3 linked regions of the Macaca fascicularis genome follow. The protein of the gene in region 1 purifies or fractionates together with the protein of each later gene. This does not show direct contact. Links are inferred from orthologs where the notes say so. Each region holds a gene or a part of one and is shown on either strand. Other genes may lie near its edges.

Region 1 (2,312 bases):
GAGGCTCTTATGATCACAGCTGGCGATTCCCTGGGTTGAATTAGTAAAAACAGGCCAAGCATAGTAATCCCAGCACTTTGGGAGGACTGTTGAATGCCAGCAGCTCAAGCCCACCTTGGGCAACATAGATCCCTGCCTCTACGTAAAACAATAAAAATTAAAAAAAAAAAATTTAACTCCAAAACATTAGGGCAACATTCAAAATTATCCTCTGAGCTGCCTCGCTGGTTCTTTCTGGGAAAAATGCTTAGGCAAGTTGAGAAAGGAAGGAAAGTTGGAATAATGGCAAAACTGTTTAGAAGCATTCCTCTTATTTCCCTCCATTGTCTGTCTTCCGAACATTGTACCCAAACTAGTTACAAAGCCATTCTGTAAAGAGATCTGGTACTTACAATTTCTTCAGATTTACACAATATCACTAGATTTTAATTTCTACAAGGGCAGGGATCTTTGTTGAGTGGCACATGGTAGGCACTCAATAAATACTTGTTGAATAGATGGGTTAAATGAAAGTGGCAGGGATCAACTAGAGTGTCCTGTGCTTAGGGTCTTTTAATAAAGATGGAAAGAATGATGTTAATCTTGTAGCAATTATCTTTTAAAGCCTGAGGGTTAACAGTGCTGTTATACTTCATTAAGGATGCCTCACATTTTTCCAAAAATATATTTATTTTTAAAAACAAAAACTCAGATCAGTTTTATAGAGTCAGATTTTCCAGAGACAAACCACAGTTTGGATTCCGGCTTAGCGTGCAAGTGAAGCATCAGTAATCTCATGCAGAAGGATTTGTCTCTGCAGGAGGTACATTCTGCTTGACTGCAAGCACTCAATTCTCTAAATCTGGTTTGTACTTCTGCCATCATTTTATTCCATTCCAGCGCTCTGGCATGCAAGATAATCCATCTCTAAAATTCAAGACTTCCAAATTGAGATGAACGATTATTGGGCTTGGGTTGGGGTTTATAACCAATCCGATCATTGATCATTTGTTCCCGGCTCTTGGGATCACTGCTGAGCCCAATGGCTCCTTCTCCATCACTGCCTCCTACAACTTCCACATCTTCCTTCTGTTTCTTACGGGTCTGAAAGTATAAACGTTTTAGGATTAAGGCAACATTCTTTCAATTAGCAAACGTTTATTTAGAGTACCTACCATGTACTAGGCATGGGGTAAAGGATAGAGTTAGGGTGTAAAGAACAATAAACTGAAATCCTAGGTTTGGAATACTTAGGGGCACAATGAGGATACGGTGTTAAAAGTTGTAACCTCTGATCGCTTGAGGTCAGGAATTCGAGACCAGCCTGGCAAACATGGCGAAACCCCATCTCTACTAAAAATAAACAATGTGGCCGGGCACAGTGAGTCACACCTGTGATCCCAGCCCTTTGGGAGGCCGAGGCGGGCGGATCACGAGGTCAAGAGATCAAGACCATCCTGGCCAAGACAGTGAAACTCCATCTCTACTAAAAATACAAAACTTAGCTGGGCATGGTGGCACATGCCTGTAATCCCACCTACTCAGGAGGCTGAGGCAGGAGAACCACTCGAACCAGGAAGTCGGAGGTTGCAGTGAGCCGAGATGCACTCCAGCCTGGTGACAGAGTGAGACTCCGTCTCAAAAAAAAAAAGATGTAACCCCTGCCCTCCAGGATGTCACAGTCTAATAGGTAAACAGGCAAAGAGACGATTATAGGGTGATCCGGGCTATGACCTATGACAGAGGGAAGTCAACACTGCCAAAGAGACGAGGTAAGGAGTTGGGGTGTGGTGGTACAACAGGAAGCTACAACTGGAAAGATGTAAGAGCAGACAAGGGGGAGCAAAGGGTATTTCAACAAATTTATTATTCTAGAGAATAGACAGAAAAATAAATTGACTGGTAAAGAAATAACCACCAAAAATCTATAGCCTAACTGATCCCATGAGATTAAAAGTAACATGAGAAGGTTTTATGCTATCTTATCAAAAGGTCTGGGTTTTGTGGCTTCATTTTGTTTTCAGATAAAAGGTTTGGTTCTTAAGTCACATGTGACTGCAGAATCCACAAAATATGTCTCAGTTTGATCATTTTCAAAAAGAAACACTTATCCCGTAACTGCCACTACCTGACTGTAAGGACAACAGATGATAACTTTCTCTAAGAGAGTGAAATGATGTTTTATCCAAAATTCCTTAATAATAATAGAATGGCTCAGCTACTCAAATCACTGGAATTACCACCATTCTTCACCACTTGCTGCTGGACTGTGGGCATTTAAATGCCAAGCATCGGGCTGACCGCAGTGGCTCATGCCTGTAAATCCCACTGCT
Region 2 (3,755 bases), on another chromosome or scaffold:
GGGATTACAGGAGTAAGCCACTGCGCCCAGCAAACTCTATCTAGCAAGATAAAGACAATGAGGGATATTTAATACACTTAACCATCCAGAAAAAAAAAAGCCCCTAAGTACTTTCAGAGGTGCTAGAAATTCACACAAAACAATCAGTTCCAGTTGCCTGTCAAAGCAGTAAATTAATAACAACTTAACCAATATGGTTCTCAGACCAATATACTGCTGAGGGGAGGAATCCAGTTTCTACAGGCCACTGCCCAACAAAATGCACATCACTCACTGAGAAGCCAAGCTTCTGGTCACACCACTTAATGGATCCATAATTTAGGAAACAAAGGTTCCTTATAGGCTAGCTGAAGTTAAATTCAGCCAGTATTCCTACCACGTACAGCTTAGTCTTGAAGCCCAAAATACTGAAGAGTTCCAAAGAAAACAAGTTGATCCTTACTAAATACACTAACGCTCAAGCCAACGTGGACGCGGTGGCTCACGTCTGTAATCCCAGCACTTTGGGAGGCCGAGGTGGGTGGATCATCTGAGGTCAGGAGTTCAACACCAGCCTGGCCAAGATGGTGAAACCCGTCTCTACTGAAAATACAAAAAGTAGCCGGGCTTGGTGGCGGGCGCCTGTAATCCCAGCTACTCGGAAGGCTGATGTGGCACGAGAATCGCTTAAGCCTGAGAGGCGGAGGTTGCAGTGAGCTGAGATCGCGCCACTGCACTCCAGCCTGGGTGACAGAGCGAGACTTCGTCTCAAAAAAATAAATAAAATAAAATAATAATTGATTATTTGTGTGCTTACAGGACCAAGAAGAGGTTTTGTGAGAAATAACAACATAGAAGGTAAACCGACATGGATAGAGGAAAAGAGCACATCATTAGCAATAGTCGATGACATCACAACCCAGTGGTCTATTCCCTGAGGCCTCTAAAGTTCTCAATGAAAAAACACTTTCAAGGCGAAAGCTAAAAAAAAAAAAAGTTCCCCACAAAAGCAGACTAAGGTGAAAGTCGGGCCCTCAGAACAAGAGCTCCGGAAAAACAGGTAGTCGTCGCGGAGACAGCAAACGCAGCATCTACCTGTCCTACATGGCCCTGCGCTACGAGACTGCTCGGAAGGAAAGGCGGGAATAACCAACTTAACCCTGCTTCGAGGTGGTTTGGAGAGGAAGAGGAAAGCCGTGTCTTTCTGCAATATCGTGAGGGAAGCCGAGACCCCGAATCATCAAAGAGAAGGAGCAGAAGAGGACTAGGCGGCTGCAGGTAAACCAAGGTACGGCGAGGAGGCAAAGGAACCGGAATTCCTCTCCACGAGCGCGTTCTCGGCTCCCCTCCTCGCGTCTCCGCCCCGGCCACGCCCACCACGGCACGGGCGCGCGCACGCCGCCTTCGCCGCAGGCCCCTCCGTGGAGGCGCGAGCACGCCGCCGTCCTCGTCGTGGTGAGCGTGACCGCTCCGGCTGGTCCTGGGGGCGGGGCTGTAGGGGAAAGTGCTAAAGCCGCTGAGGTAAGAGGCCGAGGGCTGAAGGGCCCTGGGGAGCTTGGTGAAAAGGGAGTTAACCCTTAGGATCCTACCTGCAGGGACTAGAAAAATGGAGAAGGTAGGAGGAGAAACAGGAGACTGCTGTAGCAGACGTGCGACAGGAAATTTTCCCAGGCCGGGTTTGACTGAGTGCGCATGCGGGCCAAGGGGTGGCGCCTGCGCAGTGGGACAGCGCCGATGGCGTCGTTTCCTGTGGACCCAGCTGGGTGGGAAATGTGGCTAGGAGTTAGCTTGGGAGCCGCTGGTGTTCTGACCGCTCCCCTCTCTGGCCACTCTCTCTCCACGCCCACCCCACCCCCGGTTACAGCTGCGGCGTCTGTTTGGTTTGGGTTGTAATCCAGCTGTTTTGAAGTGGAACGATTTTTTGATGATGGAATTTAATGATTGCTTGTAATGATTTGCCTTTGTACTAGGGTAGGAACTTTTAAGGAATTACTCTTTTTAAGAAAATAGGCATATGTCTGTTAGAAAGGAAAGGAATTTATATTCATAAAACTATGAAGGCCGGGCGCGGTGGCCCACGCCTGTAATCCCAGCACTTTGGGAGGCCGAGGCTGGCGGATCACGAGGTCAGGAGATCGAGGCCATACTGGCTAACACGGGGTTTCACCGTGTTAAATACAAAACAAAATTAGCTGGGCGTGGTGGCAGGCGCCTGTAGTCCCAGCTACTGGGGAGGCTGAGGCAGGAGAATGGCGTGAACCCGGGAGGCGGAGCTGGCAGTGAGCCGAGATTGTGCCACTGCATTCTGGCCTGGGCGACAGAGGGAGACTCCGTCTCAAAAAAAAAAAAACTATGAATGCGAGGTCATCCCTGCCGTACATGAAGTAAATGTTTAAGCATCTTAGCTCGGACACAGCAATCTGTCCACAAAGCATCGTTACTCTCCTGTGAGGATCTCCACTGTCAGCCCCAACTTCCCTGACAGGGCCAAATCCCAGGATACTTCATCAGTATTTGTTCAACAGAACATTACTGAGCACCTCCGGTGGGCCTCTCAGACTAGTTGAAAATAGAGTTGTGCGAATAGATCTGCACAATGAGAAAAAAAATCCGTAATGAACCAATACTGATGACACCACGCTTGTCTATCTCCTGCATAACCTTTGCTGAGCCCTGCGTTCTGTCATTTGTTCTTCATTCATTCATCCGAAATGCTCAGGAAGCACTGTGGAAACACTGTGACCCAGGTTCTGTGCTCGGCATTGAGGGTAGAAAGACTTCGAAGGTGGCAGGATGTTTCTTAAGATCATGAACCTTAAAATGAAAGTGTAGGCCGGGCGCAGTGGCTCACACCTGTAATCCCAGCACTTTGGGAGGCCGAGGCGGGCCTGATCACGAGGTCGGGAGATCAAGATTTTCCTGGCTAACATGGTGAAACCCCGTTTCTACTTAAAAAAAATACAAAAAATTAGCCGGGAGTGGTGGCGGGCGCCTGTAGTCCCAGCAACTCGGGAGGCTGAGACGGGAGAATGGCGTGAACCCGGGAAGCAGAGCTTGCTGTGAGCCGAGATCGCACCACTGCACTCCAGCCTGGAGTGCTTAATAGAAGCACTTAATAGAGCGAGACTCCGTCTCAAAAAAAATAAATAAATAAAAATGAAAGTGTAAAGTGCTTAATAGAAGGTATTGGCCCTCCTCCTGAGCAGATTCTTTCCCCTCTGGGAGCTTGCTAACTCTGTTAGATGGAGAGAATTAAGACTTTTTCCATGAATTTTTTTCATAGTAAGTATGAAAAACTGGGATCTGCATAGGAAAAAACACTCAGGAGTAACTCTCCGTTAATGATTTTGAACAGCCAAGATTTATGAAGTGTTTACTAAGCCTGTAACCATTCCAAGTGTTTTACGTGTATTAATTAATCTTTGTCACACCTGTGTGAGGTAGGTGATGTTATTACAGGTTGAGTATCCTTAATCTAGAAATCCAAAATCCTCCAAAATTTAAAACTTGAGCACTGACGGGATGGTCAAAGGAAGTGCTTTTTGGAGCATTTTGAATTTTAGATTTTCGGATTTGGGAGGCTTAATCGTTACGTATAATGCAAATATCCCAAAACCTGGGAAAAAATCCGAAATCCAAAATACCTCCAGTCCCAAGCATTTGGGATGAAGGGTACTCAACCTGTTTCCCGTTTTGCAGATAAGACAACCAAGGAACAAAAAGATCCCGAAGTGGGAGGCGGACGCGGAGGTTGCGGTGAGCCAAGATCGTGCCGT
Region 3 (3,755 bases), on another chromosome or scaffold:
TGCATTGTAATCATTCCATAAAAGCTTGAACTGAATATGCTTTAATTTGCATGAATGCTCAAAAAATTGAACCCACTGAGAGATGACAAACAGTAGCAAACCTTAGAGTAGGAATCTGTCTTCATCATACTTACATTATTACACATAATTCATGAAGCAAACAAAAACTCATAGACTTTATTGGTCTGGTGGTCCATGTGGAAAAATATAACAGTATTTTCAATTCTTAAACAAACAGAAAACTCAATTTCCCTGCTTCAGAATGCTTAACATTAAAAGATGTTTTGGCTGGGAGCGGTGGCTCACGCCTATAATCCCAACAATTTGGGAGGCTGAAGTGGGCAGATTGCTTGAGGTCAGGAGTTTGAGACCAGCCTGGCCAACATGATGAAACCCTGTCTCTACTAAACATACAAAAATTAGCCGGGCATGGTGACATGCACCTGTCGTCCCAGCTACTCTACTCGGGAGGCTGATGCAAGAGAATCCTTTGAACCCAGGAGGCAGAGGTTGCAGTGAGCCGAGATCGTACCACTCCACTCCAGCCTGGGCAACAGAGCGAGACTCTGTCTCAAAAACAAACAAAAAAACAAAAATAAAAGATGTTTTAAAAAGTATCTAAATTCTGAAATACTTACAGGAGACATGTAATAAGGTGTGCCAACAAATGTTTTTGCAAAACTCGTGTCGTGGTTTAATATTCTAGCTAGCCCAAAGTCTCCAAGCTTGACGTTTTGCTTGCCATCCAGGAAAACATTGGCTGGTTTCAGATCCCGATGCAATACAGTATGACCACCATCGCTTCGTCTGTGGCATTCCTTCAGGGCCAGAGTCAACTGAGTCATCACTCGAAGAACAAACTCTTCATCTAAGTATTGCCTGAAACCAAAGCAGTTATACAGCATATAACTTCTAAAAAAAAAAAAAAATCGTTGCCAAGATGGGATGATATAAATTATCCAGTGTACTAATAGGGAAATAAATTATTTATTTATTTATTTATATTTTTTGAGACAGAGCCTTGCTCTGTCACCCTGGCTGGAATGCAGTGGCACGATCATGGCTCACTGCAGCCTCGACCTCCCAGGCTCAAGCAATCCTCTTGCCTCAGCCTCCCAAGTAGCTTAGACTACAGGCACATGTCACCATACCTGGCTAATTCTTGTAGAAACAGGGTCCTACTATGTTGCCCAGGCTGATCTTGAAATCCTGGGCTCAAGTGATCCTCCTGCATCGGCCTTCCAAAGTGTTGGGATGACAGGTGTGAGCCACCACACTCAGCCTATAGATTGTTATTTTGATATAAAATATGGGTGTTGATTCACCGGGAATTTTCTAAAGTACTATGGACCTACCAAACAAATGCAAGTATACTCTTCCATATTACTGATCCTAAAACAAGATGCTTAAAATAAATGAAAGTAGACCTAATTTCAGCTTACATTTTTAAAAGATTATGCTTACCTTTCCTTGGTTCCCTTTGTAATCACACTAGCCAGATCCCCTCCTTCACAATATTCCATTACAATGTACAGTGTTGTGTTGGTCCGGTCAATAATTCGATCATAGTAACGAACGATGTTTGGATGTTTCAGTTCACGAAGCAAATTCACTTCAGAAACAAGCATCTGTTTCTCAGTTTCTGTCATGGAGCCATAGTCAAGTTCTTTCCAAACTAATATCTAAAATAAGAATTTCCAAGGTATGAATGAACTCATTACGCTCAAAAACAAAGAATGAAAGTTCCAAGATTTAAAAAATAACCTTCCTTTTAATTATATCCTACAATCAAGGTCATTATCTAATTTAGTTCAATGAACTTAAAGAACTGTGAGTTTACTTCCATAATCTTCTTTCAATTTCTAAGCAGTAAATGATGTTGTAGGGAGATAAAGGGGAATAAGGCACATGAGGTCTCCCCCAACCCCTACCCTCAGTTGGTTAGTGGGAAGTTGGCAAAAAGGTACTTTAGTCAAAATTGGGGTGGAGGTGGTCAAAGTCCCTGCCCCATTCCACCTCAGTCGTGTTTTCCCAGGATGAGACACCTTGGAAAAGCAGCCAGGCAGTTTCCTGTCCAATATTACTTTCTGTAAAAGGTCTACCTGTATACATTGGGAAATATGAATCCAATAATCCGAATAATGGGTATTTTGAGGGAGTCTGACTGCAGATACAAAGCTTCGGGTTCTGGTGGTCCTGCCCCTTTCTTGTGTCTGAGAGGGCCACTCTTAGAGCTCTAAAAACAGCTCAGGAGTTAGCTACGTGTCACCAATGGAAGGTCCTTAGCAACCCAAAACAGAAGAGAGAAATGGGGAGAGAAACGGGAAAAGATGGAAATACATATATCAAAAGACGCGGTCTCCCATCCTTTAAGCGACCCAGGACAGGCTGTCAGATGCAGACTCAGTAAAGACGGCTGAGTCTTCCGGGCACCCACTTCACCAGCCCTCTCGGTTCCCTTCGGTGGCGCAGGGCGCTCGCCCCTAAGCAGGGGCTGGCACAGGGAAGGGACCACGCTCACCTTGCCGTCACTCTTCCTCCGGATCTTCTGGCAGCGGCCATAGGAGCCTGTGCCAATGGTGTATAACACTTCATAGTCCTCAGCCCGGGACGGCATGGCCGGCCAGTCGCCAGAGTCGCGCTGCCTCACGCAGGTTGCGCCCCCAAATGCGGAGCTCCAGGGACCGGGACCGGGAGCTTCAGGGACCAGCACGGAGAAGCCCCCGAGCAGCGCTAACCAGTCACCCTTGCCTTCGGCCCCGTTTAACTGTCGCGGGCCCTGATCTCGCAGTCTATTGGCAGGCGGTGGGCCCGCTTCGCCTCTCTGATTGGCTAAGAAGAACACAACAATACCCTAGGCATCTTGGGAAAAGTGTCACTAGGCAGCCGCGTCGGCGTCTGCTTTTAACCTGTGGGAGCAGGGGGCGGAGCTAAACCAAAGGGAGGGCGGGAGAAAGGAAGCGGCAGCAGGCGCCTCTTGGCAACTCTAACCCTCTGGTAGAGATCGCCAAGGTAACCGAGATCGAAGGACCTCCCCTCAGGCTTCTTTGCACACAGCTTCCACCAAATGCCTTCTGACCTTTGCACTCTGGCCCCTCACACTACCTACTCTCCCCGGAACACGCCTTCCTCGCTCAGGTTCCAGTACCCTGAACCTGGGTGGGGTCACGTTGAGGACACGCTGAGAGCTGAATACAAATTAGAAATTAGACTGGGCGCCGTGACTCACCCTCGCCCGTAACCCTAGCACTTTGGGAAGCCGAGGTGGGTGGAACGCTTGAGCCCAGGAGTTCAGACCAGCCTGGGCAATATAGCAAACCTCGTCTCTACTGAAAATACGAAAATTAGGCCGGGCGCAGTGGCTCACGCCTATAATCCTAGCACTTTGGGAGGCCGAGGCAGGCGGATTGGGATTGCTTGAGGCCAAGAGTTCAAGACCAGCCTGGCCAACATGGCGAAACCCCGTCTCTACTAAAAATGAAGAAAAAAAAAATTAACCGAGCATGGGGGTGCATGTCTGTAATCCCAGCTTCTTGGGTGGCTGAGTCATGAGGAACTGCTTGAACCCGGGAGGCAGAGGTTACAGTGAGCAGAGATTGCGCCACTGCACTCCAGCCTGAGTGACACAGTGAGACCCAGTCTCCAAAAAAAAAAAAAAAAGAAGAAGAAATACAGTCGCTCTCTGACCAAGCACTTTACACATCTTGTCCCGTTTATGTGTGCCAAACACATAATTCACCCTATTGACAATACTT

Evidence for each region.
Region 2: the proteins of CDC26 (region 1) and ANAPC16 purify together in Homo sapiens (co-immunoprecipitation; 5 studies listed by BioGRID and IntAct, with this or other methods). This does not show direct contact. The link is inferred for Macaca fascicularis from reciprocal best matches to the Homo sapiens genes CDC26 and ANAPC16.
Region 3: the proteins of CDC26 (region 1) and NEK2 purify together in Homo sapiens (affinity purification with mass spectrometry; 3 studies listed by BioGRID and IntAct, with this or other methods). This does not show direct contact. The link is inferred for Macaca fascicularis from reciprocal best matches to the Homo sapiens genes CDC26 and NEK2.

Annotation. Positions count from the first base shown.
Region 1 is NC_088389.1:44,830,817-44,833,128, reverse strand, and holds the end of CDC26 (anaphase-promoting complex subunit CDC26), read right to left. Parts: intron 1,084-2,312; coding exon 907-1,083; 3' UTR 651-906; downstream 1-650. UniProt on the Homo sapiens protein: Component of the anaphase promoting complex/cyclosome (APC/C), a cell cycle-regulated E3 ubiquitin ligase that controls progression through mitosis and the G1 phase of the cell cycle.
Region 2 is NC_088383.1:74,200,347-74,204,101, reverse strand, and holds the start of ANAPC16 (anaphase-promoting complex subunit 16), read left to right. Parts: upstream 1-1,379; 5' UTR 1,380-1,434; exon of another isoform or gene 1,435-1,659; intron 1,660-3,678; exon of another isoform or gene 3,679-3,755. UniProt on the Homo sapiens protein: Component of the anaphase promoting complex/cyclosome (APC/C), a cell cycle-regulated E3 ubiquitin ligase that controls progression through mitosis and the G1 phase of the cell cycle.
Region 3 is NC_088375.1:69,486,072-69,489,826, forward strand, and holds the start of NEK2 (serine/threonine-protein kinase Nek2), read right to left. Parts: upstream 2,766-3,755; 5' UTR 2,618-2,765; coding exon 2,522-2,617; intron 1,683-2,521; coding exon 1,465-1,682; intron 880-1,464; coding exon 639-879; intron 1-638. UniProt on the Homo sapiens protein: Protein kinase which is involved in the control of centrosome separation and bipolar spindle formation in mitotic cells and chromatin condensation in meiotic cells.